Cricetulus griseus: one gene and its partners. The protein of the gene in region 1 interacts with the protein of each later gene in a pairwise test. Links are inferred from orthologs where the notes say so. Each region holds a gene or a part of one and is shown on either strand. Other genes may lie near its edges.

The links.
Region 2: the proteins of Exosc5 (region 1) and Tnfaip1 interact in binary tests that used the Homo sapiens proteins (3 or more experiments, as listed by UniProt). The two-hybrid records come from large-scale screens. The link is inferred for Cricetulus griseus from reciprocal best matches to the Homo sapiens genes EXOSC5 and TNFAIP1.
Region 3: the proteins of Exosc5 (region 1) and Fcho1 interact in binary tests that used the Homo sapiens proteins (3 or more experiments, as listed by UniProt). The two-hybrid records come from large-scale screens. The link is inferred for Cricetulus griseus from reciprocal best matches to the Homo sapiens genes EXOSC5 and FCHO1.

What each region holds. Positions count from the first base shown.
Region 1 is NC_048602.1:9,454,849-9,457,776, forward strand, and holds the end of Exosc5 (exosome complex component RRP46), read right to left. Parts: intron 2,636-2,928; coding exon 2,546-2,635; intron 806-2,545; coding exon 713-805; 3' UTR 501-712; downstream 1-500. UniProt on the Homo sapiens protein: Non-catalytic component of the RNA exosome complex which has 3'->5' exoribonuclease activity and participates in a multitude of cellular RNA processing and degradation events.
Region 2 is NC_048600.1:91,917,819-91,921,318, reverse strand, and holds part of Tnfaip1 (BTB/POZ domain-containing adapter for CUL3-mediated RhoA degradation protein 2), read left to right. Parts: intron 1-656; coding exon 657-826; intron 827-1,204; coding exon 1,205-1,294; intron 1,295-1,370; coding exon 1,371-1,423; intron 1,424-2,159; coding exon 2,160-2,355; intron 2,356-3,500. UniProt on the Homo sapiens protein: Substrate-specific adapter of a BCR (BTB-CUL3-RBX1) E3 ubiquitin-protein ligase complex involved in regulation of cytoskeleton structure.
Region 3 is NW_023276806.1:248,082,613-248,086,112, reverse strand, and holds part of Fcho1 (F-BAR domain only protein 1), read left to right. Parts: intron 1-720; coding exon 721-819; intron 820-894; coding exon 895-991; intron 992-1,722; coding exon 1,723-1,767; intron 1,768-1,877; coding exon 1,878-1,950; intron 1,951-2,360; coding exon 2,361-2,385; intron 2,386-2,634; coding exon 2,635-2,692; intron 2,693-3,115; coding exon 3,116-3,294; intron 3,295-3,395; coding exon 3,396-3,420; intron 3,421-3,500. UniProt on the Homo sapiens protein: Functions in an early step of clathrin-mediated endocytosis. Has both a membrane binding/bending activity and the ability to recruit proteins essential to the formation of functional clathrin-coated pits.

The DNA.
Region 1 (2,928 bases):
GAGGCCAGAAGAGGAAGTCTGATGCCCAACAGCTGGAGTTACAGGTGGTCATGAGTTAGTTGCCTGATCCGAATGCTGGGAACTGAACTCGGGTCTTCTGGAAGAGCAACAAGCACTCTTAACTGCTGAGCCCTCTCCAGATCACTTTTTTTTTTTTTTTTTTCGAGACAGGGTTTCTCTGTGTAGCTTTGAAGTCTATCTTGGCACTCAATCTGGAGACCAGGCTGGCCCCGAACTCACAGAGATTAAAGGCGTGTGCCACCAACGCCCGGCCAGATCACCTTCCTTAAATAAATAAATAAATAAATAAATAAATAAATAAATAACAGTCTTGGGTAGCCCAAGTTGGCCTCGCTCTACCAGGCGGTTGGACTGTTGGCACATACCACCACGCCTCTCTCTCACATTGGGACATGGACCTGGGTCTCGTTCAGTGTCAGCTTCTCCACACCCAGCAGGCCTACGGAACCGGGCACTTGCCAGACATCACGATCACTGGCTGCTGACTTACTCACTCAACACAGCTGAGTGCCCTTTAATGGTGTCCTGGTGATGGGAGGGTTGTGCCCAGGCCTGGAAATGTCCCTGAGCCCCTCCTGCTATAGGACTGGAAGCCACATGGGCACAGAGAGAGGTAGAGTGGGGGTGCTGGCGTGTGGCAGCTGGAGGCGGTGGGCGTGGTGGCGGGAGGGGTGACTTGCTCTGGCTTGTCTCAGCTCTTGGAGTAGCGCCTCTGCAGTGATTCTCGGTAGAAACGGAAGATGTGTTCTGAGGCAGCCTGGGCAGCAGCCAGGCACTGCTGGAGCTGGGGAGGGAGAAGCAAGTTAGCGCCCAGGGTGACCACTCCCCACCACAACGGCTATTTCCTTCTCTACCACCTCCTGACTCCCACCCCAGAAAGGCGGTGGTGATGCATACCTGCGATGAGACAGACACAGAATGGCCCTGAGTAATCCTCCTGCCTCAGTCTACCAAGTACACCACCACCCCTGCTTTTTATTCGGCACTGGGGATGGAACCCAGGGTCTTGTGCAACCTAGAAAAAACTCTCTGCCAATAAAAGCCACATCCTCAGGCCCTCTAAGTTTGCTTCCTCTTTTTAGTATGTAATTTACAGTGTGCGTGCCTGTTAGTGTGCGCACACACCTGTGCACACGCATGCCCTGTGCAGATTAGAGGACAACTTGGCTCTCTCCTCTCACACGTTGGTCCTGGGGACGAAGTTAGGTGGTTAGGCTTGGCAGCAAGTCTTTAATTTCAGAATTGTCTTCCCAGCCTGGAAGTTTTATTTTATTTTATTTTTTTTCCCCTGACACTGGGCTTCTCTGTGTAGCCCAGGCTGACCTCGAACTCACAGAGATCGCCTGCCTCTGCCTCCTGAGTGCTGGGATTAAAGGCGTGCGCCACCAACGCCCAGCTCACCTCTCCCTTTTTTTTTTTTTTAAGATTTTATTTATTTATTATGTATACAATATTCTTCTTCCATGTATATCTGCACACCAGAGGAGGGCACTCGTTACGGATGATTGTGAGCCACCGTGTGGTTGCTGGGAATTGAACTCAGGACCTCTGGAAGAGCAGTCGGTGCTCTTAACCTCTGAGCCATCTCTCTAGCCCCTCACCTCTCCCTTTTTTGAGACAAGTTTTTACTATATAGTCTGGGCTGGCCTGGAGCTCACAGCAGTCTTGCCTGCCTCAGCTTCTGAAGTGCTCTGATCACAGCTGTAAGCCACCGTGCCCAATCCAAATAAATGGAAGAGCCATGAAACTAGAGATTTAAATCTTTACAGCAGCCAGGTGGTTCTCTGTGAGTTCGAGGCCAGCCTGGTCTCCAGAGTGAGTTTCAGGGCAGCTAGGGCTACACAGAGAAACGCTATCTCAAAAAACCAAAATCTTGACCACCATCAACAGGGCCAGAGAAGAAATATAGGTACGGACCAAGTTTCCAAACCATGTCCCTTGGTAACTCAAAATCCTAGATGGCACTGTTCTGTGCTGAAGACTGGGGACCTTAAAGATACATGTACCACCTCATCCAAAGCTGAACCCTGCTTCCTGATCCTGTCACTCAGGCATTCTTTTAAAATTGATAGAGAAACCTTCTCTTTTGGTTTTTTGCTTGTTAAGACAGGATTTCACAATGTTACCCTGGCTGGCTTAGAACTCTCCATGTAGACCAGGCTGGCCCTGAACTCAGCTATGCTTGCCTCTGTCTCCCAAGTGCTGGAGATTAAACTTGTGCCTTGAAACCTTGTGCGTGCCAGGCAAGCACTTTAAGAACTAAGCCCCAGCCGGGCTGTGGTGGCGCACACCTTTAGTCCCGGCACTTGGGAGGCAGAGGCAGGCGGATCTCTGTGAGTTCCAGGACAGCTTATAAGCCACAGAGAAACCCTGTCTCGTAAAACAATACAAAACAAAAAAACTAAGCCCCGGACTCGTACCCACCCACCCAACAAGGACGTAAAGAAGAGCTCACTGTGAGCTGGGACAAGTTGTTATGCCAATGGGAGAGGTTTTGGATTGTGCCCCTACCCCCACACGGTACCTCGGCATCCGAATAGAGCCCTTTGGTGTTAGACATCAGCAGCTTCTGCTCCACGCTGTCCAGAGCAAAGGTCAGGATAGCCCGGGCCTCCTAGGAGCAAGAGGAGGAAGATATAAGTGCCCAGGGACCCTCGTCTTTAAGATCTCAGCCAGTCTCCAACAGGGGTGACCGGACCCTTAGCCTCTCGGTCAACCACAGTTGTCTGTCCACACACTATGCCACCCCTGGGCAAGCGTTTCCCTTCTTTGCTTTTTTATTCTGACCACAGTCATTCTGTCCCACAGGGGGAGCCACAGTGCTGGTCATTCTCTGCCTGCCTCTCCACCACCCACTCCCTCTTCCTAGCTCTGTACTACACAGGCAAGCCAGGGATCCGATCCCCA
Region 2 (3,500 bases), on another chromosome or scaffold:
ATGCCGGCACAGGCGTGTAATCCCAACACTCAGTTTGAGGCAGTTCAATCTCAAATCTGAGGCTAACCCAGACAATTCAGCAAGACTGTTTCAAAAGGTGACATATGGGCCAGTCATGGTGGCACACACCTCTAATCCCAGCACTCAAAGAGTCAGAGGAAGGTGGATCTCTGTGAGTTCAAAGCCAGCCTGGTCTACAAAGTGTTTTCCAGGACAACCAGGGCTACATAAAAAACCCTGCCTTGAAAAACAAAAAACCATCCAAAAGGCTGAGATATGTATAGGTATCCAAATAAAATCGTCATAAACACAGTAGAGCCTGGGCAGTGGGCAAAAGTAAGCAGAGACTGGTGGTTTCTGTATTACTGGGCTGACCTGAGTTCCCCCAAGCTTAGACATCCAGTCCTGCACAGACCCCTGAAGACCTCTCTCTTCTCGGGGGCACAGAGTTCCTGGACTCAGGATAGGGAAAAGCAGCACCGACCTGAGGCCAAATCTCTGCCACCCCTGGTCTGGGCTCTGCACTCTCTCACGGAGCTCCTTTCCTTGCATCCTGCTGCCTGCTGCCTCTCTTCAGGTGGCGTTTGCCTGAAGGCAAACAGTAAAACACAGCTGGAGGCTAACAGTAATCCTATGGGATCCCTCTAAATTCCTAGGCTGGATCCTCATAGACAGATGTGGGAAGCACTTTGGAACCATCTTGAATTACCTCCGAGATGACACCATCACCCTCCCTCAAAACCGGCAAGAAATCCAGGAATTGATGGCTGAAGCAAAATATTACCTCATTCAGGGGCTAGTGAACATGTGCCAGTCTGCCCTGCAGGTATGGGAAGAATTGGGTGACCTAATGAGGTTGGGAATTGTTCCTCTGGGGACATTAGGTTTGGCTCCTGGAAAGCTGTATTGGAAATGAGGTTGATGAGTCCAAACCCAAATAGAACAATGGGGTGCTCCCAGGCCCGAGCAAACGGCTGCTAGATACTCACATTTGGTAGCACAAGCAGGCTGTGCCCCTAGTTCATTCACTTAGATATCCGAGCTTCATATTTTCTGGCAGTGGAGATCTTACTAACTGGCAATGTCTATTACCAAGAACATCATGGTCCGTCTGGTACCTCCTTACCAGGCAGGGGGTGACTGTGGCAAGGCCTGGAGGGGTACAAGATCCTAAAGGCAGCTCTCTGCTCTGTGTGTCACCCAGGACAAGAAAGACTCCTACCAGCCTGTGTGTAACATCCCCATCATCACATCGCTGAGAGAAGAGGACAGGCTCATCGAATCCTCCACAAAGGTACTGGGCACTCTTAGGACCTTGGTCTGGGGACACCAGGCTCCTGGCCTAACCCTTACTCCATCTTCTCCCACAGCCTGTGGTGAAGCTGCTATACAACAGGAGCAATAACAAGTATTCATACACCAGGTATGGCAGGCATCTCTGCTAGGGCGCTGGGGAGGGCGGCAAATGCAGCCAAAGGGCTGAGCAACCAGAGCAGGCGTGGGCAGTGGCTCAAGGGACTTCACAGATTCCCAACACACGTAACATGGGGCTGGGTTTTGAAACCACCTTTGCTAAGGGCAATGAACAGAGATGGAAGGGAACTCAGGACAGAGGCATTTGGGATTTGTTATATAATCCTGGTTGGGATATAAATGATAAAATGTTAATCATGCCTGTAACGTGCCAGGGATTTTAATCCCCATTGCTTTAGTGGATGAAGAGAGGTGCTAGGAAGTCATGGACGGAGTCTTCCTGAAGCTGGTGTTCCTCACTGTGTCCCCATAACAGGCTATGGTTAGGTAGACCCAGGTGGCTGCAGACATGGATCTAGACTCTCCTGGTCCCCTGTGAACCCTGCATCAGCCCACAGCAAAAGAACAGTATACTGAAGTAACAGAGAGGGGCCCTTCCTTCCACGCTTATGAGGGGTTACTTCTTTCTCTCAGTGCTCTCTGCTGAACCGAGAGCCAGTTCCACCCCCTTTCCTCACAAGCCCCAAGTCCTACAGGTTCCTTTCTGCCTCTCTGTCCCTCTGCCTTGTCTTCACTTTAGCATGATAGGGTAGGGGTGGGCAGAGCAGCGTGGAGAACCAGAATGTCCCGGCAGCCCTGCTTGTTGGAACCTCATTCCAGGCCTGCTGGCCCTTTGGTTTTTTCAGCAACTCTGATGATCACCTGCTGAAAAACATTGAGCTGTTTGACAAGCTGTCCCTGCGATTCAATGGCCGTGTGCTCTTCATCAAGGATGTCATTGGTGATGAAATCTGCTGCTGGTCTTTCTATGGCCAGGGTCGCAAGCTGGCAGAGGTGTGCTGCACCTCCATCGTGTATGCCACAGAGAAGAAGCAGACAAAGGTATGATCTTTCCTCTGATAGGGGACAGATCACACAGACTCCAGGGTTGACGACTGGTATTGCTCCAATGCGCCCTTCCCACAGTAACGAAAGGGCCACGTGTACTTTCCAAACCATGGTATGATGGTGCCAGGTAGGACAGAGTCAGAACAAAGGGGTTTGGGAATGGTCAGAAGCTGTTAACAGTTGCTGAAAAAGAAGCCCACTGACCAGCAACCTTCTGGTGCCATGGAAGGACCAGGTCTTTGAAGTTGTCACAACTCAGGTTGCAGTTCTAGTCCCACCACTTCTAGTTGTCTGACTTTGGGGAGCCATTGGTCTGTTTCCCTGCTTGAAGATATGGGAATGAGTCTGAGTCTAGCCAGTACATGGCAAGGGTACCAAAGCAGCACGGTGTGTAGCTTTCCACTTCAACACTGCTCTTACAGCCAGGCTGGCCAGCTGGCTTCCTGAGCCCATGGAATGACATCACAGATGAGCCAGATGTGCCAGATGAGCACAGGGCAACTTTTATTTTTACTTTTTCTTTTTGAAACAGGGTCACAGAAGCCCAGGCTGGAGCTTGCTATATAACCTAGGTTAGCCACAAACACCTGGCATTCCTCCTGCCTCAGCCCACTAGGACTAGGGTTACAGATATAGTTAACTATAATCAGCTGTGTGAATTACTTGGTAGGGGACAATTTATGTAGATTCATCTCCTCCCTTCCTGAAGAGACCAGCAGGTATCCTCCCTAGAATATATACTTGGAGATGGCAGGGTTTTACTGGGTAAAAAGGGGGAATAAAGGGCGCAAGCATCCAGACCCAAGAGCCTTAGCCCCAGACTGCCACATTGCCTCAGGCTGAGTGATCTGCTGAGGGCTGTCCAAAGGACAGCTTATATGAGGTGGCAGTTCTTGGCAGTGGGGGGTAGAGACAAAGATGGCATGGAGTTAGCCAAGAGGCTGTGAAAGTGGAGTCAGGATTCAGGACCTGAGTAACAGCAGAGGTAGCAGTGCCAGTCTTCTTCCTTGGTGCTCTCTTCCTTCTTCTGTGTGCTCCCCTAACCCTCCACACCCCAGCTAGAAGACTTGCCCAGCTAGAACCTTCTCTCCACTTGAGATGAAGGCACAGCAGCTCAGTGTGACAGATGTGCTACAGTT
Region 3 (3,500 bases), on another chromosome or scaffold:
TCTAAGCACATTTCCAAGCATTCTGTACCTGTTCAAAGGTATTTTTCAGTCTGGGCCTAGCTTTTTGTGTGGCTGCATGAACCAAGCCTTAAACAGCCAGGCTACTAGCTGCTGTCTCCTCGCCGCTATGGTAGGAGGTAGGTCCAGCAGGCTGGTTCTGGGCAGAAGGTGCTGTTTGGCTTTGCTTGAGAGCTGAGCCTCATGCCTGAGCGCACAGGCTGAGACTGGCGTTACCAGACCCAGGTCTGGGGAGTTGGTGGTCCTTCACAGGTCTTTCTACCTAGTGTCCTGCCAGGTAGCTTCTTTGGTGGGTTCAGGGGAGTCAGGCATGGCTGGATCCAGGCGTTCCAATGGTGTCATGAGGATGTTGTCTCTCTGTGGCTGGTCGTTGGTTTCTAGGGACCTCGCTCCTTTGCTGACAGAGGGCATGCTGGGGTGTTTGTGTGTGTGCCTCTAATCTAGCAGGCCCATTTTTCCTTTTGATATAGGTCTCACTATGTAGACTAAGCTGGTTTCAAACTCATAGAGATCCTCCTGCCTCTGCAGTACTGGGGTCAAAGGCCATCATCCCACGTGGAGCGGAAAGGCTGGGGGCAGCAGCGTCTTTTTGAGTAGCAGCCAAAATCCAAAGGCAGAATCCCATTGGTGCTTCCCTAAGCCAGTGGGGGGTCTGGACTGATCTGATTGGTCAGCCCGGGTCACATGTCCCTCCCATCGCAGCGATTTCAGGCCATGGAGGAGTCGCACCTGCAGCACATGAAGGCCTTGCTGGGTTCCTATGCTCACTCAGTGGAGGACACCCATGTGCAGATCGGGCAGGTGAGGATGGGCCCCGCCCTCCTGTCCAGCCCCACAGAGGCCGTGCCCCTCATGCCCTCTCCACCCCCCACCCAGGTGCATGAGGAATTTAAGCAGAATGTGGAAAATGTGACTGTGGACATGCTCCTCAGGAAGTTTGCAGAGAGCAAGGGCACCGGCTGCGAAAAGCCTGGTGAGTGACCCTGGTGAGGGCCTCCCTGGCCCTTGGTTTCTTCTTTGGAAAAATAGAGTGGTGGCAGTTCTCTGTCCCCCACCCCATGTAGGGAAGGCATCTGATGGCTGATCTCACATAGTCCAGTCCTAGACACCAATCCCTAAAGGATCATGAAAGTTCAGCTTGGAAACTCCGCTGTTTCTCACTAAGTCTCAAGAGCTGAGGGAGCCATTGATGGTGTTGAGCTTAAGACGCCCTTGTTGAGAGCCAAAGTTTGATAGTCAGACTGAATTTGGGTCCTTTTTCCGTTGCTTGCTGTGTGACCTCAGTTGCATGTCTTGACTTTTTTTTTGTTTTTTTGGGACAGGGTTTCTCTGTGGCTTTGGAGCCTGTCCTGGAACTAGCTCTTGTAGACCAGGCTAGTCTCAAACTCACAGTGATCCACCTGCCTCTGCCTCCCGAGTGCTGGGATTAAAGGCGTGCGCACCCCCGCCTGGCTATGTCTTGACTTCTCTGAGCTTGCTTTCTCATTGATAAAGTGGAGACCACAATCCCCTAAATGCAGGCACACTTTGTTCAAAGACCCAGGTGACCAGGAAAGCTGTCCTTCTTGCTGTTTCTATGTTCAGTCAGCCAGGCCTGACATACCTAGGCCTTCCTCTCACACCCTCCGGCTCCTGTTGTGGAGCCCCGGTGTGCAACTGTGCAGCCCGCTTCTGCCCCTCAGACTTATTTCTTTTTTGCCCCAGGGCCTCTGGACTTTGATGCCTACAGCACAGCTGCCCTGCAGGAAGGCAAGTACGTCTGGGCCTGGATGCCCAGGCTAGACCAGGGTTTTGGAGAGGGATCTGAACAGAAAAGGGGAGAACCTTCTAGAGCTTAGTTGCCCTCCTTCTGTCAACAGCAATGAAGCGTCTCCGAGGAGCCAAGGCCTTCCGTCTTCCAGGACTGAGCCGGCGGGAGCCCCGTGCAGCTGTGTGAGGAAGTGCCCCACCCTAGCTTAGGCTAGCCCAAAATCCTGCCCCTTGTTCCAGCGAGCACAGAAACCCCCTATGGCACTTTCCCTATCTCAGACTGTCCCAGGACCACTTCTCCTGGGCTAGCCCAGAAAGATCTCTGTCCCATGCTAGCCCAAAAGAGCCACTCTCCCAAACTAGACTGGAATTCCTCCTTTTACCCAGGCTGGCCCAGAAGCTGCTTGGCCCATCATAACCTAGGTTGGCCATGATCCCTCCCTTTGCCAAGGCTAGCTATCTGTTGTACTGTTTGAGGCTTTGTCTGACTCTAGAAGCCACCCACATTCCCAGCCTATGGGCTAGCTTGGGGCAATATGGTGGGCATCCTTTCTGGGGACTCCAGCCACTAACCCCTGTTCCTCTGTCCCCAGGGACTTTCTGGAGTCTGATTCAGGGGTGAGTCCTGTGCCGGCAGGGCAATGGGTAGGCGGGACTTGATCTTCAAGGCCCCCGGGAAGAGGGGGCCAGAGGGGCCCAGGGTGGGGCTCCGAATCAGGTCTCACCTGTGTGGTCCCCGTGTGAGGGACTGGAAGCTCTACTGCATCTCAGTCCCCCTTGCATTTGCCTACAACCCTGGAATATATTCTGGTGGGAGCCTGGGTGGACAAGCCGAGGGGTCATTGGAGGGAACCTGACTCCCCCCAGGTGCCTCCAGAGGTGGATGAAGAAGGCTTCACTGTGCGTCCTGACGTGTCCCATAATAATATCCTTCCTTTCTGTGATTCCATGTCCCCCCGGAGAGTCCTACTGTGCACCAAGGAGCTCCAGGTGCAAGCCTTGTCCTGTGCACTTTCGATGGTAGACAGAGGGAGGGTTGAGAGCCAGGCGATGGTGACACACCTCTTTAATCCAGAGGCAGGCCATCTTAGAATGTAAACCAGCCTTTGAGTTCCTGGCTGATCAGGGCTATGCAGAGAGATCCCGTCTCAAAATAAAGGTGGACAAGACAGGTGGACTTTTATGGTGGGCTATCCAGGAAGGCTTCCTGGAGGAAGGGCATCAGTGTGGCTGAACAGAAGCTCCCCAGGTAGCTTCCTGAACATAAGAGGTCAAAACTCACCGTACAGGGCCTCCATGTCCGGGAGTGTGGTCAGATTCAAGACTTGACTCCTTGACAGAGGCCCACGCATGGCCGAGCCCCCTCGATTCTCCTCTAGTGACTCTGATTTTGATGATGAAGAGCCTAGAAAGTTCTACGTTCACATCAAGCCTGCCCCCACCCGCACTGTGACATGCAGCTCAGAGGCTGCAGCTGCCCAGCTCAGAGCCACAGCTGGCAGCCTCATCCTCCCCCCAGGCCCAGGGGTGAGCTGGGTGACTGGAACCAGGGGTGAGCTGGGAGGGGCACAGGGGCCAGCCGTCTGCAGCTGAGCCTCACATTGCTTGGTTTTTTGCTTTTTCCGAAGGGCACCATGAAACGTCACTCATCGAGTGAGTAGCCTGGTCCGTTTGGGTAGAAGGTGCCCTTGGAGGAGAAGCTGGGTCTGGGTGGCTGGAAATTGGGATTGGTT